Lytechinus pictus: one gene and its partners. The protein of the gene in region 2 binds, or shares a complex with, the protein of the main gene of each other region. Links are inferred from orthologs where the notes say so. Each region holds a gene or a part of one and is shown on either strand. Other genes may lie near its edges.

Region 1 (8,645 bases), on a different chromosome or scaffold from region 2:
TCCAGTTACCCAACTGGTTCCAGTTAGGATTTCCAGTTGCCCAACTGGTTTCAATTGGTTTCAACTGGAAATTGTTATATTCCAGTTAAAACCAATTGAAACCAGTTGAAACCAATTGAAACCAATTGGAAATCCAACTGGTTTCAATTGGATTTTGGTCCTGGGTTTGTAGTACAGTTTATTCTTTTTTAAAAACCTCCATTGAAACTTGCCTCACCTCCTTTTAAATTGGCTTCACCATAATTTGTAGTACAGTTTATTCTTTTTAAAAACCTCTATTGAAACTTGCGTCGCCTCCTTTTAAATTTGTAGTACAGTTTATTCTTTTTTAAAAACCTCCATTGAAACTTGCCTCACCTCCTTTTAAATTGGCTTCACCATAATACAGTTTATTCTTTTTAAAAACCTCCATTAAAACTTGCATCACCTCCTTTTAAATTGGCTTCACCATAATACAGTTTATTCTTTTTAAAAACCTCCATTGAAACTTGCCTCACCTCCTTTTAAACTGGCTTCACCATAATACGTACAGTTTATTCTTTTTAAAAACCTCCATTGAAACTTGCCTCACCTCCTTTTAAATTGGCTTCACCATATACAGTTTATTCTTTTTAAAATCCTCCATTGAAACTTGCCTCACATCCTTTTAAATTGGCTTCACCATAATTTGTAGTACAGTTTATTCTTTTTAAAAACCTCCATTAAAACTTGCCTCACCTCCTTTTAAATTGGCTTCACCATAATATTCAGGTAAGGTATATTCATTCTTAAAAAAAAAAAACATATTGTTCACTTCCCTCACCTAGATCATTTGGCTATATATAATACCTTTTATTCTACACTATTCTTCCCTTTAAAAAAACCTGATTGTACTCCTGCCTCCCCTGATCTGACATTTGCCTCTCAACGTACTGGAAATAGATACCCTTTTTTCAATATTTTTGTGTTTTTGACACCCTTATCACGTTACGTACGTAACCTGCCCTCTCTTGAAAAAGACATCCCTTTTACGTGTTTTTTTGGTCGCGCATATGGTATCCACTCGTCAATGTAAGTGGCCCCCCGGGCGTACTGTACATAGTGTTATTTTATTATCTCTTTATATCGGAAACTTCGTTTTACCGAATTGCCATGCACTCTCTCCGACGCGTTTGAAGTCTTAGACAGCATGGCATACTACCAGCCGATGGTACACACACGCACACACACACACGTTATTTGACAACTTGTCCCTGGAGCCAAAGTTCCTCGCATATAACTATCTGCATGCCTGCACGCAGTGTGTATTGAACACGCACGACCACGATCTAATGAATATTCATCGGCGAGACTGACGTAATTTTACGAGTCTCCTTTCAAACTTGGATCATAAGTGCCTACCGTATGAATGTCAATCCCAAGGAACAAAGCGAGTATATTAAAGGTCAAGTCGAACCCCAGAAAAATGTTGCATTGAATAAATAGAGAAAAATCAAATTAGCATTACGCTGAAAATTTCATCCAAATCTGATGTAAAATAAAAAAAAAGTTATGACACTTAAACGTTTCGCTTACTTTCACAAAACAGTGATAAGCACAGTGACACGCATATAAGACAATCGATGATGTCCTTCACTCACTATTTCTTCATTTTTTTTATTATACGATATTTCATTTTTACAGATATGACGATAAGGAACAACTTGACTGAATCATGTAGTATTAAACAATGCTAATTCCACATGTTCAGGGAGGAATTATTCGTTTTTTCACTTGAAAATGATGAGAAAATTGCAATATTTCATGAAGCACAAAAGAAATAGTGAGTGGATGACGTCATCAGTCCCCTCATTTGCAAACCGATTAGGATGTACATATAACTGTTGTGTGAAATTAAGCGAGACTTAAAAATATCATAACTTTATTATTGTACGTCGGATTTTGATAAAGTTTTCACTGTTTTACTTGTTGGATTTTTCTCTTTCTATTCAAATAAACTTTTTGTTGGGATGGACTTGTCCTTTAACGAATGCTATTAGTCATGTTAGTAATGAAGAATCGCTGACGTTGGAGTGAAAATATACAAGTTTAAAATTGTTCAGTTCAGTTCATTTATTCATTAATGAGTACAGAATTATATAAACATAAAAGATACACTTCAAATATATACATCAATAATTTGAAATGTAAACATGCAAAAAAAAAACAAATTAAAATAAATACAATAATATTATTAGGCCTGTGTGCAGTAATGAAAAGGGTGATTAAATAAAGCCAATATATATAGTGGCCTTGTGCATGAGGTAAAGTCTCCTAAAATAATAAATGATAATATGGAGGCTACTCAGTATCAACATGATCAAAGTAAATATGAGAACTTCGGTTACAAAGGTAAATGGATTAAAGGGATGGTCCAGGCTGAAAATATTTATATCTCAATAAATAGAGGAAAATTCACAAAGCAAAATGCTGAAAATTTCATTTAATTTCGTTTCATTTCGTTCAATTTGATCAAGATCGGATAACAAATAACAAAGTTATTGAATTTTAAAGATTGCATTATTCCAGTGAAACAGTTCTAGGCATGTCTTTATAAATATTTTATTAGGTGGGCTGATGATGTCATATCCCCACTTGTTCTTTTGTATCTTATTATATGAAATTATGTTTATTCAAAATTTTTCTACCAAGAACTAAAACAATTGGATTGACAACTGATTAAGTGCATTAATTATTTATTGCCGCAACTTATTTCATCATAATGGAGACACATCATTTACACAATGTATGAAAAAATGAAAAATTTATGATTTCATATAATAACATAAGAAAAAGGAAAGTGAGGATGTGACTTCATCAGCCCACCTAATGAATATTCATGATGATGTGCATATAACTATTTTCACAAAATATTGACAAATTTTAACATTCAATAACTTTGTTATTTGTTATCCGATTTTGATGAAATTTTCAGCATTTTGCTCTGTGAATTTCACTCTATTTTTTTAGATATAAAAATTTTCAGCCCGGATCATCCCTTTAAGAAAACGGACGTACAGGATAAGCACAAATGTTTTACAAATCGTGTATAGAATTGTAACATAGCTGCAAAATTAGGAATATTTTGAATAAAAGTATTGTTTCAATTTTCATTTAAAGAGGGAAAGAGACTTGCCTGTGCCCTGTGGGAACAAATTTCGGTATAGAAATTCCAGATTATTGGGGAGTTAAAGCATAAACCTTTTTGTACATAGGACATGTAGGACTTTCCTACTTTCCAAAAATAAAACAAATTACGTATAATTACATATAATTCTGTGTCAATGTACAGCATTATTGATACAAAATTTTTTACTAATCTTATTTGTCAGTATTTTTTAAAGTAGAAAACCCTAATATTGCAACTTGATATTGATAAAGATGGACAATATTCAAAGTATTAAGTTTACGAAATAAATGAGATGAAGCTGAAAGATAATGTCTGTTGGTGCATATATAAATTGTTTTTTTTTGTAATTTAAAAAGTTTATCTAATTTGGATTTACTGCAATTACCCCAGACATCAATACAGTAAAGAATGTGTGATAATGTTAACGAATTATTGTAAATAGAGAGTACCAGATTTAGGAAGGCAACTTCTTAACTTATACATAATTCCAATACATTTCAATTTTGGTGAACTTTGTGAGAATTTACAGTATAAATGTAATTTTTTTAAATTTTTTTCAACTTTCTTATTATTTCATATAACAACATATTTGCAATTGTTCATCCGGTCCGAATCTTAACCCAGAAAGGCCCGGGGGCGGATTCCGCCGCCCCATCATTTTTCACGATAAATCCGCCGAGCTCGCTGACTCTTTACTTTCAAATCTCGCACAACTTTTGAGACCAAATTTGCGATGCCCAGGTACGCGGTTACGAAATACTACGCAACATTATGTAAGTGCATGTCAGACCCAAAACTGCTCAAAAACGTGAATTCATGTACAAATCCAATGCAAATTGTGTATTTAGCCAAAATTCATAAATGTATCATCATTTCTACTCTTACTGATTAAACTTAATTAATTTTGTCTTGTTTATGATCAGAATTATGTCTGCATCAATTTCCATCGGAAAAAACAATAAAAAAAATAGAATACATTAGAAAAAAATGCGATACCATTTTTTTTTAAATACATTTTATTTTGATCGGGAACCTACAAAGAGTCTGTGAATAAAAAAAATCGGAGTTTTGAGGCCGTATGATAGTCGATTAGAGCAAATGATTTATTTCATGCAAAAATTAATTCAATAAATGAAATATATTATTATTTGAAAAAAAATCATACAGCCTTGTAGATCTTATCGCACACTACCACTGTTTAAACTTAATTAATTTTGTCTTGTTAATGATCAGAATTAAGTCTGCATCAATTTCCCTAGAAAAAACATCGAAAAACAAGGAAATACATAAGAAATTAAAAAAATAAAATACATGAGAAAAAATTGGGATACCATTTTTTTTAAACTGATTAAACTTAATGAATTTTGTCTTGTTTATGATTAGAATTAAGTCTGCATCAATTTCCATCGAAAAAAACAAGGAAATACATAAGGAAAAAAAATACATAAGAAAAGAAATGCGGTACCATTTTTTTAAAGTACATAATTTTGATTGGGATCCTACAAAGAGTCTGTGAATAAAACTATGAACGCACTGTATTAGCAGTTTTGGCGCCGTACATAGTTGATTAGAGCAAATCGTTTGTTTCATGCATAAAATAGCATAATTAATTCAATCTGTGTTAAATAGCTGCAGGATTCAATAAATGGAAAATATTATTATTTCAAAAAATTAACCATACAGCCTGTAGATCTTATCGCACAGTACTACTGTGCACCCCCTCCCCCCGGCTGTGAGATGGGTCCAAATAACCCGGCTCTTTTAGGTTTAAGACGATGCTCTTAACTTTAGAAAGTCTACGAAGTGGATGCTATACTGGGCGTTGTGGCGTGCGCCTGTAATCCAAGCTGTGGGGAAGTTACAAATTGATGCAGAGGTTCGAGCCCTGGTCACGTCTTTCGGATGGTGACGTTAAAGGTCGGTCCCAGACGTAAATAATCATATCTGATTGATACACGTCTGACAAAACTCAAATACACACACACACACACTATATTCCTGTTGATACGAACAAAACAAGGATTAGATAACATGGGATCAATTCCCTCAATTCAACCATGGACCCCCATGGACCTACTTTGCTTGTAGGTCCATGATTCAACCCTCAGAAAAAAAAACAATTTGCTCGCTCGCGCTCGGCAAGTATTGCAGCCCTCTCGCGTCCACTTCTCGCCAACTAGCTGTAATAATAAACCGGAAAGTGAAAAACTAAGGCTGAGTAAAAAATAGACTTTCTATCAATACTCGCCATTAATGGTTAACAAATAATCTATTTTCGAACCAGGATGGACGCTGACGGATTACCCCTTGTAGGACCAGGAGTAGATTTGACGAAGGTAAGAGGATTTTATTGTGAAAACGATTTTTATCAGCAGAAAGTTAGGGGCGTCACTAATTAATTTTCTTCGGTCCCACATGCCTATTAACATGTGTGCATGTCAGTGTCATTTTGTACAATCGTCGCGTCGCTAGCTAGCTAGTCACCCAGTGCAGTTTGTTTTGGCGCTTTGTTACAAATAGCTAGTCTTGAATGTACCTTTTTTTTTGCATCGATTAACCTTTTGGATAAGAGAGCAAATAATGAGCAAAGTGTGTGTGAGACAATTTTCAACATGTTCAAATGAACTGCTAGTCAGCTGATGAAAAAGTCTGACTAGTCTCTGTCTGTCTGACTGTGTTTTGTTTTGTTGCAATGATGTAAGTGAAAGAAGAGTGTAGGCCTACATGCTGCAGCTGTGCTTGCCATACATTGCCATTGGTTCTCAGGCTTTAGTTTCTTTGACTTTGGGATGTAATTCCATTCTGTTCATGACATGTCACTTAGTGCTTTAGTGACTTAGTCTTAGACAGCTGGCAGCCGTCTGTTTCGAGGAGTTTTTCAACATCTTTTTATTTTTTAAACTTCTCCTCGTACACAGACGGCTCGCTATCGTGCAGCCACCATTAGGGGGTGAACAATGCAAAATCCCCCCGACGGGGCACATCGATTTTTGTCTTTATTTCATAAAAGGGTCATTCTTCAATAAGTGTATATTTTCGACCATTGTGGGATGATGAAATTCAAAACTATTTCTAAACTTTCTTTTTGTCTGTTTAATATATTTGTACATCTGTAGATTATGGAAATACTGTTTGGCGCGATCTTTATGGGGACTAAGTTATAATTTTGGGGTCTTTTTAAACATGTACACTGTTAATGCGTCATCTCCGTCACAATAGACATCACCAGCACTTACACAGATATGGGTATGTGGGACAAGGTAAAGTTAATGATATCTGTAGTACTGTACGGTGTACCAATTTAGATCTGAAGTCCTCCAGACCAAGGCCAAGGGTCACTTTTCATGTTGTAAATATAGCCGTAAGTTTATCATGAGCCCATGCAATGTGTCAATTAACTAAGTTCATAATTCAAATCAAACTCATCATCTCCGTCACGAAAGAGCCGTGACGGAGATGATGCGTGACGGAGATGACTATCAGACACATATGCACCGATAATCAATGTCTGCAATACCAACTAACGCGAGTGCGGCATTGGCTGTTCTGTGGGCACGTTAATCTTTCATAGAAACGATTAGAAAATAAATGTAACACCTTTATCTAGCTAATACCAAGCGTTCGGAGATGACGCTGAATAAAGGTACGCACCTGGTTTTTGACGAAGATGCCGCCCGAACAATGTCAAAACCCCGGAGATCAGGGAAAAAACGTGTCGATTCTTTCTCCGTACTATCCACCGGCCATTTTGCAACCACAATCTTGAAAACCGTGCACTTTGTTGTACTGTAGATGGCGCACTGAAAATGCGTGACGGAGATGACGCAAAATCGTGTGACACAAAATAATAGGCCTTAAAAACAAAAAAATCTTAAAATCGTTGCTTGCGCGTGTATATTTGAGTGGTATTCGTTGTCAACTCATAAAAATTAATTTATCAAGGCATATTATTACAAAAAGATGCATAATTTTAAAAATGCAACACATGTTTATGTTTACATTATGTTATTGTGACATGCAATTTTGAGGGGGGTGGCCATAAAAAAAATTAAAAATAAATTATATATGATATTTCTTTTTGACCTGTTTTAATTTTTCATTATTTTTTACATACGTGTTAGTCAACACAAAGCGGTAAAAAATAAGAAAACTTTTTTATATTTTTTCATGGGACTCCAAAGCCATGTGACACAAAAATATACACTTATTGAAGAATGACCCAAAAATATTGAAAAAGAATTGAACCAAAATAGAGATTATTATTCCGTTTTGGCCTGAAATGCACCAAAACGGGGAAAAATAAACTTAAAAGGGGAAAAACAGTGACTTACTTCAGCTGTCGCGCAACTTCACTTCCCCGTTTTATCCGAGCTTAAGTACATAAACATATGGCCATTGAGTCCCCTACTCCCCTGTACAGATCGCTCTAGAACTTCGGTCTCTGTATTTGGTGAGTGGAGCCAACGTAGTTCAGCGGAACAACCAACATAATTAACATAGACTGAAGCTTTTGGTCTATTAGTGACTTAGTCTTACCTAGGCATACCTTACCGCAAATACTGGCTGGAAGAATGCTGAATCAGCAGTCGAGCTTCCAGGTCTATGTTCTTGTCAGCTACAGGTCTTCATGTCAGCTTCCTTCAATCTTCATGCTTCAGTAAGTTCAAGGAGGCAGGGGGGCAAGTTGGTGAAAATTGCTAATTTTTTCCTGGAATCACAAACACCCCTTCATCCTCTTAGTTGATTGTATTGTCTAGATCTACATTTTTGTAATTCAAAACTAAAAGCACAAAGTTGTTATTCTTGAAATTTTCTTCTGTTTTTTTTTTAATTTCAGGTTGGTGCTATACACTCCAAGCGAATGCTCGCCTTTTTAAACCACTTCATCATACACACAACCAGGTTTCTCAACAAGTTCTCCTGTGTTTGTGAAACGGTAAGGAGTAAATTGGCTAGTCACCAAGATTTAGTTACATTAAATTTACCTTCATCATGGACTCCTATGTTGATGTTTGTACTTATCAATATCATGTAAAACTATCGCTGGCCTGGAAAGTTGGAAAGTGCTCTTCAAAAGTGCCATTTTATGGTCAAAAGAAGTTATGTATTTACTAGCGACAGGAAATTGCAAATTTTTGTACCCAATGGTCATGATGGTACATGTAGATTATATTCAAACTTTACTTTTACCTTCAAAGTCGTTCAAAAGTTTGTAACATACATTTCGAAATTGATTAATGTAGCAACCTTCCTTTTTTTTATTGCATGACTATTTCCAGAAACTGTCGGAGATCACAACTCGTATTCAAAGGCTTGAAACCACAGTCAACATATTGGAAGCAAAGGTAATAGAATACTTCCTGGATTATTTTTGTAACTCATTATTGATTTGAATATACTTTCCCTGTTTTTCCCCTTGCTTTTGGGGGTTCTGTTTATCTCCTGTTCAAGTGTTATTGTTTTGATTATGTGGAAGTGAATCTTCTACACTTGAATA
Region 2 (7,851 bases):
ACACATGTGTAAAGGTCTATTGCAAAATGGTGCAAACTTTTCCTCACTGTTCCTGAAGACATACTGTTTTATCTGCAGAATTTCACAATCATTTTGTTTAAAGATCCAGACCGGACCCGAAAATGAAATTGATAAATTATATACCAATCGAAAGCTTATAAGCTACTAAATACACCAAGGTATGCTTTATGCATTTTCACCGCTTCCCAGCTGAGTATTTTGCTTAAGAATATTCCAATTATCGGGTTTCGAACCCCGAACCCCGCTTAGAAAATAGGCTTTATTGTGCTTTTCACCTGCCTCGAGACCGTGACGTCACGTTGTAAGCGTCGTGATTCCATAGGTTTGTACACAGAAAAACTGGATGATTTTTTTGCTTTCCAGATAACGCATTTCATTCTCTTCACTTCTATCACAGAGGGATATCACATATATTTTTACCCACAAGCTTGAATTTATGAAATCTGCAGTTTAGAACTAGTTTTTGCCATATTTTATTTCCTGCTTATTTGGCGCAGATTTCAATTCTATCTGCATTTAGATTATGTATAACAACTTTTCCTGACATAGCAATTTAGGCCCAATAAGAGCCAAACAAAGAAATCACAAAAAAGGTAGTGAATAGTTGTAGGTTTACAACAATTTGAACAGTGAATAATTTTGAGTGCCATTTTCATCTGAAAACAAAAAAAAAAATGGATTCATAACATGGAAATGGAAGAAAATACCCAATGCTTTTGTACACAAACCTATGGAATCACAACCCTCCTGACACAACGTGACGTCATCATTTCCAGGCGACGTGGGGGTGCTCAATCGAAGCGTACTTTGGAGGAGCAGTTTCTTTGATTTTTATTTAATATTTTTAACTATTGGAAGGAGATATATGTAATATTTTTGGTATATTCGTATTGTATGAATCATTACCTTTATTTTGATATATGATTGTTTTTACACCGGTCAGGGTCTTTAAAGAAATGGACATACAGTGTAGGATATAGAGCAGATTGTCACAAGTCAGAGTAATTCATCCCACAGGCAGCTTTTCATTACAAATCATGTATCATAGACAGTTATTTTCAAGAAAACATCCTCAATGTGCGTTACGTAGCTTGGCGAAAGACAAAAAAGAACAGGATGGCGATGCAAACATCGCGGCAAGTCTTCCTGTCTTTTCAAGATTTTTTTTTTTGCATTCTGTTTTAAAATTGAATCAATATCATAGAAATGTCGGAAATGAAACTGTATCCCATTTACATGATCTAGGGCAAGATCTTTTAGAAGGAAGTAGAAATCTCAGGGGCGAAAGTTTCAGTTTTTCGCGGTACATGCACATGAACAAGACACAATCCCTGGCTCCTTGGAGAGTAAGCACACGTTAGTGAAAGATTTTTACTCTCTAGGAGCCTCCTAGCTAGTTGCACTGCGCAGTGAGCAAGTGGAGCTCTGGCAATATATGTTGTCAATAAGTTTTCATTCTACAGTAAAATCCACACATAACTGACAGAAACAATAGTTGCGGTAGACAGCTGGTACTGTGGCAGCTGTCTGTTTCGGGGAGTTTTTTTACATTTTTTATTTTTTTTAATTTCTCCTCGTACAAAGGCAGCTCGCGATCGTGCAACCGCCATTAGGGGTTAACAATGCAAAATCCCCACGACGGGGCTCATCGATTTTGTCTTTATTTCATAAAAATATGTAACAAGAACTAAAATAATATTAGATCTATTCAGTTTTGGCCTGAAATGCACCGAAACGGGAAAAAATAAACTATAAAAGGAAAAAACATTGACTTACAGTCTTACTTTCCTGGTTTACCCAAACTTAATTACATAAACATATGGCCATTGAGTCCCTGTACAGATCGAGTAAGAAATTTGGTCTAACTTTAATACGTAGCCTAAAATTGGTGAATGGAGCCAAAGCCAATCAGCGGAACATGCAATAATCAGAGACGTAGACCGAAGATTTTGGTCTATAGCTGCAGTAGACCAAAAGCTTCGGTCTCTGTTATGTTGGTTGTTCAGCTGAACTCCGACGGGGGGATTTTGCATTGTAAGTCCCCTAATGGTGTCAGCACGATAGCTAGACAGCTGGCAGCCGTCTGTTTCGAGGAGTTTTTAAACATTTTTTTTTTTTTTTAATTTCTCCTTTAGGGGACTTACAATGCAAAATCCCCCCGTTGGGGCTCTTCAATTTTTGTCTGTAATGAATCAAACTTTTGAAAATTAACGCAACTGAAATGCAAATTAATATTCCCTCTCGGCATTAATTGCCAAAAAACGGGGAAAATCAAGTTAAAAGGAACAAAAACAGTGACTTACCTCGGCTGTCGCGCAACTTCACTGCCCTGTAGCTGTTTTATCCGAACTTAATACACATAAACATATGGCCATTGAGTCCCCTGTACAGATCGCGCTAGAAATTCGGTCTCTGTATTTGGTGAGTGAAGCCAACAGAGTTCAGCTGAACAACCAACATAACAGAGACCGAAGCTTTTGGTCTACACGATAGCGAGCCGTCTGTGTACGAGGGAAAATTTAAAAAATAAAAAAATGTTAAAAATCTCCTCGAAACAGACGGCTGCCAGCTGTCTATAGCTGCATCAGCTTTCCCCCAGTCCAAATCTGTACATGTATCTAGTTTGTTTAGGCATAACCTTACTGTCTAAACAATAAATGTGCAAGTCCCTGGCCTTGTCTTTGTAAACTCTTTCAAGGCCAAGGGGGCGTAGATTGGGCGGTACAGTGTACGAACTTTGCCCCGATCCCAAGCCAAGGGAGTCCAACCCGTGTGGCTGGCTTAGTTACGTTACATTGCCGATACTAGTAAGTGTAGAGCATTTAACTTTCATACTACGTTTCACAGCTAATAAATCCATCTGAAATGAGCAATGACTGTTAGCACTTTTCGTTATAAAAATTACTACTTACAATTCACAGAATCGATGAAATATATTATTATTTGGATCCTGCGCAAACGATGTCGGGTACGGTAACTTATGTTGGTCACATGCACAGGCTACAACTAGCTACGTACCGGTACAAGTCTAGCATGTTGACTCACCATCACTTCCGGGGTATATGTACTACTGCATATGGCATGCACTGCACTGCCAAAGTTGACTGAGCTCTGGGTCTGAGCTAGCCGTGTAGGGGGGGGGGGGGGGGGCGCTAGGCCCCACACTCTTGGCTGAAAATTATTATATCTAATAAAAATAAAGTAAAATTCACCGAGAAAATGTTAAACATCGAAAAAATCATCCAAATCTGATAACAAATAACAAAAATGAACTCAGTTGGGCCCTGATATATGCACACCGTACCGTCATGCAGCGCAGCGGCCGGGGGGGGGGGGGGGGGTATGATGTCATGTTTCCACACTTAACTTTCATAAATGTATGTTCTGTACCCCATCTGCGAAAAAAATATGTGGAAACATGCCTGTAACGAGGAACTCAATAATTCATTGCTTGAAATAGACAAAGTTTTAACTGATAAATGTGTTAATTTTATGGTGCATATGCAATGGGACTCGTGTTTAAAAATTGACCCAAAAATATTTAAATATATTGGTATTCTGTATGCCTATAGTTCAATTTCAAGTTCGTCTCTATTTATCCATTTTGTTCACAACTTCAAGTCAATATTATACATATATTACATTTATATAAGCTACTCGTTTACATAAATCAAGCCTCCATTTGACAAAAGACAACAATACTTAAAAAAGGGTATACTACTACTAGTATACAAATAACCAGTATTTAGAATTTCATTCCAATGGACAATGATGTAGTCCCGATGTAGTATTACTTTAACACCTTATTTGAAAGAGCTACTGTATAGAATTAACTAGTATTTCAGTACCGAAAGTTTAGAATTTCATTCTAATGAAAAAATGCGTGAAGTCCTAACATATTGATTCTAAAATACTGTACTGCCTCAAAAGAGGTTTAAAGTTCGTGTGTGTAATCAAATATTTTATTACAAAGAATTGAAAATTACAATAAGTGCATGAAGTATCGAGATATTAATTTAAAAAAAATGTATAGAAATTACTAGTAATCAGTATCTCAGTACGAAAAAGAAATCTAAAATTTCATTCCGATAATAAATGCATGAAGTATTAATATTTATTCATTATAGCTACTGTTTTGATTTCAAATAGGGCTAAATCGAATGTGTGTAATCAATATTTCATTCAGACAAACAATTTTGAATTTCAAAATTTCGTTCCAATACATGTAATAAAAGCATGAAGTATTAACATAGGTTAAAAGACTCTCTTCCAATACCCGTTTTAGAGATTCGTTCCACTTATGGCCAGTGAAAACTAATAATGTCATGAAATTCTTACGACATAATTTCCCTGGGATTTGGAATTCCATCCCTAAATGAATGCAAGTCTGTTAAGTCATTTAAAAAATTAAACAGTTTCTATATCTCAAAATGTATAGGGCCTAGTTATTTTTTCTCTTGTAAATTGACACTTTCTATGTTTTTTTCTGTTTCTTTGTGTTTATTTGTTGTTGTTGTTGTTATTGTTTATGTATCATGTTTAATTCTACATCTTATCGTTTCTGTATACCATGTCATGTTATCAATGTTCTGGGAACTGCGCTTATAAGGCCTATTGGCTTTATTTATGCAGTTCCCCATTTCATTGTATACTCTAGCTTGCTTGTAAATAGTTTTTCATATCTTATTTTATATTTGTTTTTTAATCGAGAATGAAAAAAAAATGCAAATTGAATTGAATAGAATAAAATTAGACTATTGTTTTCTTGTTTCGGGGCACTCGTTAACACGTAAAATGGGCCCTTCTATGGTGAAAGGGGCACAGAACACGTTCGAGAGGGGGCGCATTTTTGCAACAAAATAAATGGCACCTAAAAGGGCAATTGGTAACACATAAAACGGGTCCTCCTCAGATGAAGGGGCACAGAACACGTTCGTGAGGGGCACTTTGAAGTTGGGTAAAAAGGGGCACTGATTCGAGAAAGGGCACTTTCTAACACATAAATCGGGTTCTTCTCAGGTGAAAGGGGTACATTAGAGGTTCGAGAAGGGGCGCATTTTTGCAACAACAACAAAATGGCACCTATGCGAGAAAGAGCACTTGGTGACACCTAAAACGGGTCCTCCTCAGATGAAAGGGGAACATTTACACATTCGTGAGGGGGCATTTTTCTTGCGTAAAAAGGACACCTTTTCAGTGCTTCAAAAAAAGGGGGCACTGTGCCCCCCCCCTGTCTCTTATACGATTTTATTGATGATACCATTGCAACGAAAAGTATAGTATTAAATCTCAACAAGTTCATTATAAGAAATGGTCCCCACTTTAATATATAATGATTTTAATGATAATTGTCTTAATTCTCACTATATTTCTTTGTATGTAATGTGTTTTATACTGTAATTGTTTGATCATGTTGCTACAATGTACAACAATAATCAGTAAAAAAAAATCAAAAGATGAAAACCAACAAAATAAACAGCAGCAATGTTTATTTGAAACATCAAATCAATTGACAATAAATTCTACTCACCAAAAACTCGAAGTCCTTACAATATACCGTATATTATTAAGGAGATCATATACTGAAAAAAATAAGTTATATGTTGTTTTTTAATACTTGTAGAACATTAACGGATGTTGCTAGGGAGACTATTCCACATTATGGGACCAGTTAAACTTATCTTTCTTCCTCCTCTTGTCTTTCCTCGTTTTGGTCCTCTCCTTCCTCCTCCTTTTTTCTTTCTCTTTTCCCCTTCGTTCTTTTTTGTGCCTCCAATATAGGGCGTGGCCACTTAGGCCACTGGATTTATATGCCAGGGGCACAGCCCCTACCCACACACACATACACAACTTTTAATCACCCAATTTCGTCTCAATAGCGTAAATTTTGGGGGCACAATTTTATTAATAATAACTTCTCATCAAGCGCTCTTTCAAAAAGTTACAAAGCGCTATACAAAAACTTAAAATATAACAACACAAAATGAAATACTACTTGCAATATATCAAAACAAATAAGATCTGAGCATCTTCTGAAACACATCAATATAAGGACGTTGTTTAAGTTTATGAGGTAATGTCTGCATTCCAATATTTTGGGGGCAAACACAGAAAATTACATATCACCTTTTGACCTATCTCTCCATAAAAGTAGGGGGACCAGGGGCTGGACAATTTGACAAGCAAAAAAAGAAAAAAAAAGAAAAGGTAATCACCCAAAAAGCAACGTCATCTCATCCAAAATACATGTTTTATTTCGATTTTTAATGATGTATTTCTTTCCACCAAAAATAGAAGGGGGACATGTAAAATGGTTACACTTCGTAATTCCGAAGGTTCTTTATTCCGAAGGTTCGTAATTCCGAAACACGTAAATTGGCTATACCTCGATGTTCGTTAATCCGAAAACGTAAAAGGGTTCGTTAATCCGAACATTTGTGGCGTTATTCCGAAGGTTCGTTATTCCGAAGGTTCGATAATCCGAAAACGAAATAAGGTTCGATGTTTCGAAGGTTCGTTAATCCGAAAACGAAATAAGGTTCGTTGTTCCGAAGGTTCGTTCATCCGCAAACGAAATAAAGTTCGTTGTTCCGAAGGTTCGTTAGTCCGAAAACGAAATAAGGAATTACGAACCTCATCATTCTTTTTCGGATTAACGAACCTTCGGAATTACGAACCTCACTTCGTTTTCGGACTAACAAACCTTCGGAATTACGAACCTCATTTCGTTTTCGGACTAATGAACCTTCGGAATTACGAACCTTCAGAAATACGAACCTTCGGAATAACGAACCTTCGGAATATCCGAACCTTCGGAATAACGAAGCTTCGGAATTACGAATGTATTCGATTTGAAATCGTGTCCCCCTACCATTTTGGTTAGGGGGACGCGTTCCCCTGTCCCCCCTGAGATTTCCACCCATGCCTATTGACTGATTGATTTGAATGTCCGTGAGATGTGAAGAGAGATATATGTGATGATTATCGAGTGTTGTACATTAATTGGCGAACTCTTAGGAGGTGTGACAGGTATGGTGCAGGAGTTTCCTCAATCATGTCAGAGACTTGTGCTGAATTCGATTTTTTACTTTCAGCTAGTGTAATCGGGGGGGGGTGTATTATGATGATTGACAGTAAATGACCCTTGTTGCTTTATTCTGTAATTTCTACAGACGATCTAGGTTATTAGAGGTGACACCATAATTATATGACTGAAGTGGTTTAGGCCTATAAGATAATATGACAAATAAAATAATGATTGAAATAACAATTTCCCTTTTGATCAATGTGCCCTATAAGGATGAGTATCTGTAGGCTCATAGGCTTTGTCTATAAAAAAAAAAAAAAGAGGAAAACTCAGAGGGGTATGGAGTATACTCCATCTGGAGGTCAGTCTTTTTGTCGGCGAGAACTAACTTATAAATCTGTTGACAAAGTAAACACATTATACATAAAGCTTGTCCGGGCTTTTAATTGCAGAACCTAAATTATTAGAATATCATTCAATTCAATTTATTAATCATATTATCATAATATAGGCATAAACACTTCATTCATATATGTTTTTTTTTTCTTCAACTGAAGGGCCCTGTCACCATGTAAGTCCATGCTGTAACCACTAGCGTATCTACGGGGGGGGGGGGGGGGGGGCCTGACGAGCTTGAATACCTCTATTGATAACCTTTTTTTTTTTTTTTTTTTGCTTGTCAAATTTTTTGGCGGACGGTTTTGCCCCCCCCCCGTGGAAAATCCTAGGTACGCCACTGGCTGTTACCAACACGATACACATATGGCCTATCTGTTAACATATTATTTTGCGTTCTTATTGTC
Region 3 (8,681 bases), on a different chromosome or scaffold from region 2:
GTACTGCCACACACGGGTTTGCCCTAATGATCGTGGACAATCATAAAAAATATCATTTTCATACCATGTGACTGGGAAATTTTTGGCTCCACCCCCCCCCTCTCGATCCCTGTATCGATTTTGACTTGATAGGGGCCTATACCTGATGGAATTTGCTTAATTCAATATAAAATCATAACGGATAGAATGCCTTGAATACAGGCCAAACAGCCTAACGACATTGCCGTGTCACGTGACAACCAGTATTAAACGAGAATGTGCACAACCCTATGGCGACAAAATTTGCCGCAAAAGTTGAGCAAGTTCTGGACAAAAAGGCTTCAATACCCCAAGAAAAGACCAGGCGAGTACTATTTATACATTTTTTCAATTTAGTAATATCTAGAGTCTAATTTAAGAACAGATTTCGTCATGGAGCTCCATGGTAAGATCTAGTAATTTAAGTCCAACATTTAATTCGCGTGCACTCACTTTTTTAACACAGGAATTAATAGCCTTGGTGCTTAGAGTGATTTAGAGCTAGATCTTTTAGAAGGAAAGTAGAAATCTCGGGGGTGAAAGTTTCAGGTTTTGGCTTCCATTGTGTGGGTCTATGGGATAGAAGGCCTGGCTTCATGAGAGTGACCTTACGTTAGTAAATGATTTTTACTCTCTAGAAGCCGCCTGGCTACACTTACGCTAAAAGTAAAACCAGTTTAACGAGGCAAAGCGATCTTGAAAACTACATCGCGAGGTGGTTTTCCAAACTGGTTTGCAAGATCGCTTCGACCGTTCTCACTACGCGTTAAACTAGTTTCCACTAAACTAGTTTCCAGTTCTTGTTCTTGTATATTTCCTTCCTCCGGTCTTCGGAGATCGGCGGCAAGCCGCAAAGTTCAGGTCCTTTCTTGTTGGTGCTGTCGACATAGGTGGATTTTTAAGATGTATCTTAGGCAGTGACATGTCAGAGAGGAAGCAGAAGAGGAGGGCAGAGAGTGTGAGGGAAAAAGGATGGAGGATGCAAGGATGAGGGGGTCATTTCCAGTGAAATCATTTAGGATGTGTGCAGGCAATTCAAGGTTCTCAACATGCTGTAGTAGGTCCAGACGCTGCGTCAAAAGGACTGGACATGAGGCAAGAAAGTGGGTAGTGGTTTCTTCCTCTAGAGAGCAGAGATTGCAGGTTGGGTCTGTGCTCTTCCTGATGGTAACTAGGCGTCGTTGTGTGGGATAGGTGGACGTAAGTAGCTGAGCGCGTAAGATCACAGCTGATCGAAGATGGGTCGGTAGTGAAGAGGGGTAAAGTGACGATATCTTGGGGAGCATTGAGAGGTTACTCCATAGGCTGAGGGATGAGAATTTCTCAATGCACACTCTGGCTTCTTCCATTTGGGCATCATACACTTTACTCCTGCACAGAGTTTTCCAGCGGTTGTATGAGAAATCTTCAGATAGGAGAGAGGTGAGTGAGGGAAGGTTGTACTTAGAGAGCAGTTTATTCCAGTAGATGATAGTAGGAGTCTTGATGGAGAGGGCATGGAGGAATGAGCGAAATTCAAATCTACTATGGTCGATGTTGAAGAGCTGTCCTATCAGAAGGAAAGTGTTCAGTTCAAATCTCGCGGGAGAGGTGAAGTAGGTCAGTTAACAGGAAGATAGAGATATTGGGGGCAGATCTCGGTCACCCAAGGGTTCATTACATGCCGCCGCGCACAGAAAATTCAAGCCATAGAAGTCGTGTGTTGTGGACCCAAGAAGTGAGATCCCAGCACGCGCGACCCACTAGTTAGAAATCCACTGCCAAACGCGGTTCGTGGTGCGAGGTTAGTATACTAATACTAACCTCGCAATACGTGTGAGTGGATCTCGGTAGACCCTAACCCAGAGAGCTCCGGCCCGCGTAGCGGGCCGGAGCCCAGACGCTCAGTGTGCAAACGGGCATTCAGGTGAGAGTACCGTGAAGTTTGGTCAAAATAATTTTGATAATAAATAATTAAAACAGAAATTAAGCACTTACCACGATTGTATGGATGATAGTCTAACGAGTGGCAGTTTCCTGACATCGAGGCACAGACTGGAACCTCAAAAAACGATCAGTTCTGTCGCGGTGGCTCTCCTTCTTTCAAAATTCATAGCAAAATGGCCGTTCGAGAGGGTGTAGGGCGCATGCGCGAATTTGACAAAGTCTATATGCGCTAGTGCTATACTAGCCTCGGTCTCGATCGGCCATTTTGTGTTGAATTCTGAAAGAGGAGAGCTACCGCGACAGAACTGATCGTTTTTTGAGGTTCCAGTCTGTGCCTCGATGTCAGGAAACTGCCACTCGTTAGACTATCATCCATACAATCGTGGTAAGTGCTTAATTTCTGTTTTAATTATGTATTATCAAAATTATTTTGACCAAACTTCACGGTACTCTCACCTGAATGCCCGTTTGCACACTGAGCGTCTGGGCTCCGGCCCGCTACGCGGGCCGGAGCTCTCTGGGTTAGGTAGACCCAAGAGTTTCTTGAAAAGGGAGTGTTGGGCAGAGTCAAGTTTGTTGAGTGAGGATTGAGTGAGACACAGGAGCTGTGAGCCATAGTAAACTAGTTTTAGGAACGTAGTAAGAACAGCCTCTTTAAAAGCTAACCAAACATAACATGAGAGTCGACGTATGGGACCGAGCTTAACGACTTCCAGGTTCCGCCCCCACACAACTTCATAAAAATATCTTTAATGAGACAGGATGAAAAATAAATGATTGTATGAAAAGCAAAAATGCATACTCACACATTCAATAAATGAGCTCACTGTATCAAAAATAGAACTGGAAATGGGAAGATCTAGTAATTAGCAAGAAACTATCTCAGACCCTCCAGGGAGCGGCCATATTGAATCATGTGAATGTAAATTATCGAACAAAATTCCGAAACGAAAAGATCCGAATTCACGACCTCTTCGCGGTCGCGGCGCACGGCTATATATACCGAGCGCTAGCGTCGTTGATCCAAAATGCTCTACTTTTACCTTTCTAGATTCTCTAAAAGTTCCACAAAGTTTTCATAAATTATTCACAGAGAGTGTTACTCTACAATTAAAAAAATCAGAATTCAACTTGCATTGCAAAGACAAAAGAGAACAGAAACTAGCAGTTTTTAAAAGTGATTTCCTGTGATCCCTTCATAGATTAGAATAGGCCGAGTAGGCACTTCAAAAGATAGGACTCACTCAGGCCGGAAGGAACTAATTTTCACTCAGTTTTCATCAGGGGCACCAACTGGTTGTATGTTTCAAATGAAAGAAAAAGGCAACCCTGACCGACAATCGGCTCATGAATATATAAACCCCTCTTTCCGAATCATAAGAGTGAAAGGAGATCCGGGAAGGAGATATGTTTTGACCGTGGGATTCACAACTGTAGGAAGAAAGGAATCACGGGCATTACGAAAGCGATTCTACAGTGCGTATCAAAAAAAAATTAACACTCTGAAAAAGCCCTGGGAATTAAAAAAATATACAACACGTGGGTAATTTTTCACATATAACCTTTGGGTCTCTTCTATCCAATGAAAGTAAAAGTTTGACAGAATGTTGCACTTGAGTGAGCACTGTCCATTTTTGTAAAGCTCGCAGAGATCTAGCTGTTTGCACAGAAATGCCCGTCAGTTTCACGCTGTGTCAAGGGGAAAGGGCGAAATCAAATTTACCCTGCGAAACATTTCTCATACATTTCCCTTGCACTTTTAGTCAATTGAAATACAACAGATACATTCAAGCATTTTGTAACAATTTTGCCACCCAAATTGAAATTTCAACACTTAGTAAGCACAACTTTTACCCTTTTTGTGCCAGCTGGATCTGAGCTAGGACATAACTAAATCTGAACAAAAGTTTATATCAGACATCTCCAGCATTTTTTCACTAAGTTTTTATCATTTAAAGTGGGTTTACATTTCAAATTTCATTTAATACTTGTTTTTCCACACCCTTTCGAAGCTTGACAATGATTAACAAAATGAAAATCAAGCCTAAAAATTAAGCCATTTCATGTAAATCACAGCTCAGTGTAGAGCAAATATCGCCACGATGGCCTCAGTGTGTGGGGGAGTAGGGTGGGGTGCAATCAGGGGCGGAAATCTCTCCCAAAAGGTAGGGGGGACACAGGGGCGGATCCAGCCTTCGCCAATAGGGGGGGGGGGGGGGCGGAAATTTGTTTCAGCCATATTTTCCCCGATCGGCAGCTCGAAGATGATTTTTGTTTGTTTCTTTGAAGGGATAGTCCTCATTAGTCACTTCTTAGCTTTATTCTTATTAATTAATATATAATATCATAATCCTTATTTATATGATGCGAGCGCGAAGCGCGAGCTAATTTTTTTGGGACATTTTCACCCAAAGAATGGAAATTCTAAGCGCTTTTTGTAACTCAAGCAGAATAGGTATATAAGTAAACAATTGATGCGAGCGCGAAGCGCGAACGGAAAATTTCGAGATTTAGTCCTATAATATTTACTGAACGAGACACTCTATTCACGTTTTGTAAATCATGAAAAGGATGAGTATTAATAATGCGAGCGCAAAGCGCGAGCAGAAAATTTTTATATACGTTTTGAACTGGTACCTGTTGAAAAGGTAGCTGTTAAGGACTGCTTGCACTTAGCCATGAAGGCGTTACATATTTTCAACAATTAAAAGATGCGAGCACGAAGCGCGAGCTGAAAAATTTTGAACTTTCTAAAGAAAGAAAGGAAACTTTTAATCAGTTTTTGTAATCGTGAACAGGATAGCTATATAATTTAATAATTGATGCGAGCGCGAAGAGCGAGCAGAAAAAAAATCAAGATTTAGACCTAAAAATGGGCCACTCTGTTCATGTTTTGTAAATCATGAAAAGGATGAGTAATATGGGGTCTTCCTACATTAATAATGTGAGCACAAAGCGCGAGCAGAAAAATAGTGATATTGTGATCTGAAACTGGATAATGATTTAAATAGAGAACAAGTTGAGTATCTGAATAAACATGCGCGCGCGTGTTTCATATTTAGACCTAGAATCTAGGCATTCTAAATACATCTTCAATCATGAAAATCATGAAACTTTGATATTCCGATCTGAAAAAAAGAGTCAAGTTCAGCTTTATATTTCAAGCACTTTGTAGAAAAATTGTAAGGTGGATATGGATCGCACTTAAAAACCGGAGCTGATATTTTCATTATTATTACTCTGAGTTTTGACATAGGACCGGGACATCCTTACAACATGTCATCATATGAAAATGATGACTATCTTCCTATTCCTCTTGCTAAGCGAGATGAAACAAAAGGGACAATTTGATTATTAAATTAATATCATATTTATTAATGCCCGTTATATGAGGGCGCGAAATCTGATGATATTATGGCATAGAAAGTGGACATTTCACTTCTGTAATTATGAATAGGATGCATCAGTTAATGTATTTTTAACCATTAATGCGAGCGCAAATTGCGAGGTAAATTTTTTGATAAACTGTGTCATGAATAGGGGATTATAAGTAGTTTGTTGTATAATCAATATTGAAACATATATAACTCGCCAATCAAAATGCGAGCGTGCAGCACGCTAGCTGATACGTCTTAACAATCAGACCTGAAAAGGGATATTTTGAAAACTTTATGAAATACACGAAAATAATAGGTACCTGATAAATCAAAATTTGCGAGCGCGCAGCGCAAGCAGCAAATGTTAATATTCAGACCATAAAACTGACATTTTTACAGAGCACTTTTTAAAAATCAATTTGTAAATCACACAAAATAATGAAAGTTCGATTTCCGAGGTGAAATATGTTTTGTATATTGACTTCCAAACTTGACATTCGAGCTCCATATTGAACAAGATATTAAATCACCTAACAGGTAATGCGAGCGCGAAGCGCGAGCGAAAAATTTTCTATAGTGGCACGAAAGATTATTTTTATTTTTCAAGTCTTCCCCTCATCTTATTTTATGCACTCGTCGTCCTTCTCTTCTTTTCTCCTCTCTTTTCCCTCCTTTATTCCTTCTTTCTTTCCCTTTTTTCTTTTTTTGCTCCGCCAAGAGGGGGGGGGGGGGGGGGGGGGGGGGGCGGGCCCCTCGGCCCCCTGGTCCGCCTACGGGGACAAGAGGCGGGAAATTTGACAAGCAAAAAAAAAGGTTATCATCCCAAAAGTAAGGTCATCTCGTCCCAACTCGTCCCAAAAAATACATGTTTTATTTCGATTTAGAATGATGTATTTCTTACCATCATAAAAGACCAAAAAAAGTAGGGGGGACATTTGATATTGTGTCCCCCCTACTATTTTGAGTAGGGGGGACACGTCCCCCCTGTCCCCCCCGGGATTTCCGCCCATGGGTGCAATGCACTCTTCGAAGTGTGTTGGACAAGGAAACAAGTTAAAAAGGTAAAAGGTATCTTCAAACCAATTTTACTAGCTAAATTCAATGTGTTCTTCATAATTAAGGTCTACTTTTATTCCCATAACTATTTCAAAGTTCTGCGCAAAACATTTTTCACTAAGTTTTCAAAAGTAAGTGGTGCTCACTCAAGCGGAAATATTTTCGACAGTTATATCGTCATTTGCCTAAATGGATCTGTACCAATGTTAAAATGTGGAAAAATCTTCAGGATATTACAAATGTATAATTTTACAGGATTTTTTCTAAGTGTAAACTTTTTTTGATACGCACTGTATATTCTCTGTAGAATAACTTATGGGAGGGAGGGGGTGCATGAAGCCGAACGCAGATTTTTTTCCTGGGGTGGGTGGTACGTGGGGGGGGGGGGGGGGTAAAACGAATTTTCCGCTCCCTACAGCCATGGGTGAGAGAGACTAAAGAGATTTTATTATTAGACCAGAAAGGGGGACATTTCAAGGACTGTTTATAGGAATCCATGAAGAGCAGACATATCTCACTAATGCGAACGTAAATACGGACTGGAAATGATTTATATTCAATCACATAAAATAGTCATGAAAAAAGCATATGTCACTTTATAAAACAATAATAACTCGAAGTGCGAGGAAATAGATTTGATGTATATGGACTTGAAAACGGGATGTTTTAGTATTTTTTGTTTTGTAGTGATCTTTATTATTCATTCAAATAAATTTCATACATACATAATCAAGAAAATATAGAACAAAATGATAATTGCAGCAGTGCAATACACAAATTAAATAACAGTGTAATAAACAAAGCAGGCAAATTGTAGAAAAGAGACATAATCCGAACTCATGCAAAAATAACATTTCAACAACTTATGTATGCAGCTATAAAGCAAATAATAAAACAAAGACGTAACAACTACGCAAATTTAAAGAATGAATGTATATGAGCATTCTCCCGTCCCATGAGCCCCCCCCCCCTATCAGACCCCAAAGCTGAACAAACTAACACACCAAGTATGGCAGGATTATATATATCTTTAAACAGACAATGCGATCGAGCACCACTGAATGATGAACACATACAGTATGTCCTATAAGCAAATAATATTTCATAAAGTTATGAAAAATATTTCTGTAATACTGTAATATAATATACAATAATTTCTTTTCCCCACTAGGTTTCAGGTGCCTAAAATGCATGTTGAATGATCTTAATTCATAATCACGTGAAAAAAGGCAAATGAAGACCACTTTTTTTTATGTGTTCATGATATTTTGTCATACCACTTTTTTAAAATAATAAATTTGACCCGGATGGGTGTTTCATAAAGCTGTTCGTAAGTTAAAAGAACCTTTAAGAACAACTGGTGAAACTTTCTTACGCTATAGCTTAGAATTTTAAGCACTTTGGGGTTTCAACTTCTCATCAGAGTAGGCCCTTCAAACATTTTGTGAGCTGACATTTCTTTACCAGGGGCGGGTCCAGCTTTGATGATGGGTATACGTATATATCTTAACAATGATGCCAGTGCATCAAACTCTAATTCGGCGCCCCTATGCCAAACTTCAATTCGTCGCCCCTTGGTAAAACATAATTCGGCGCCCCTAGGTAGAACATCAATTCGGCGCCCCTAAGTAGAACATCAATTCGGCGACCCTAGGTCAAACTTCAATTCGACGCCCCTATGTCGAACATCAATTTGGCCCCCCCCCCCCCGCCGAGTTCGAAAATCAATCCGGCGCCTCCTTCCCTCTTTTTTCGTTTGTTTCTTCTCTCTTTCTTTCCCCTTTTATTTTCGACTTCTCTTCTTTTTTCCCTCCTTTTGTCTCCCCTTTTCTTTCCCTCTCCTTTTTTTTCTTCTTTTTGGCGCGCCCCTTTTCGCCTACCCGTGGGGCCCAGGCCCCAAAAGCACCCTCCAGAATACGCACATGCTGATCATCGAAGCGTTAACACATTCCACATAAATATGGTATCAAATTATTTGGGAGAACATACTCTTTCAAACTATATACACTGTTAAAAAACCCTGATTTTACAGAAAAAAAAGAAAGAAGAATTTGCAAAAAGCAATAACAGAATCATTCTGTAAATTCATAAAACAGGAATTTTTCTGCAATTTAACAGAACAGGTCTGTTTAAAAAGGGGGAAAGGGTGTTTTATTAAAGGAAAATTGTAAGGTTCCATACATCAAATACCAATTTCCTGTAAGATTACGCAATCTGGTAAAGATTACAGGTGTTCTCGAGACTCTGCTGCAGGAACTTCTTTTATTTTAAGGATAACTTTTCTAACAGTGTATAATAATTATG

Evidence for each region. Proteins that work in one complex are often made in the same cells at the same time.
Region 1: WASH complex subunit 1-like (region 2) and WASH complex subunit 3-like share a complex: the UniProt entries of both Drosophila melanogaster proteins name them as parts of the WASH complex. The link is inferred for Lytechinus pictus from reciprocal best matches to the Drosophila melanogaster genes wash and CCDC53.
Region 3: WASH complex subunit 1-like (region 2) and WASH complex subunit 5-like share a complex: the UniProt entries of both Drosophila melanogaster proteins name them as parts of the WASH complex. The link is inferred for Lytechinus pictus from reciprocal best matches to the Drosophila melanogaster genes wash and Strump.

Annotation. Positions count from the first base shown.
Region 1 is NC_087263.1:2,397,801-2,406,445, forward strand, and holds the start of WASH complex subunit 3-like, read left to right. Parts: upstream 1-5,315; 5' UTR 5,316-5,433; coding exon 5,434-5,484; intron 5,485-7,985; coding exon 7,986-8,084; intron 8,085-8,427; coding exon 8,428-8,493; intron 8,494-8,645. UniProt on the Drosophila melanogaster protein: Acts at least in part as component of the WASH complex which may regulate wash nucleation-promoting factor (NPF) activity and is required for its membrane targeting during endosomal sorting.
Region 2 is NC_087247.1:74,320,012-74,327,862, forward strand, and holds the start of WASH complex subunit 1-like, read right to left. Parts: upstream 3,088-7,851; 5' UTR 2,934-3,087; intron 1-2,933. UniProt on the Drosophila melanogaster protein: Acts as a nucleation-promoting factor by activating the Arp2/3 complex to induce actin polymerization. Participates in both linear- and branched-actin networks.
Region 3 is NC_087261.1:28,105,947-28,114,627, forward strand, and holds the start of WASH complex subunit 5-like, read right to left. Parts: upstream 3,331-8,681; 5' UTR 3,189-3,330; exon of another isoform or gene 2,751-3,188; intron 1-2,750. UniProt on the Drosophila melanogaster protein: Acts at least in part as component of the WASH complex which may regulate wash nucleation-promoting factor (NPF) activity and is required for its membrane targeting during endosomal sorting.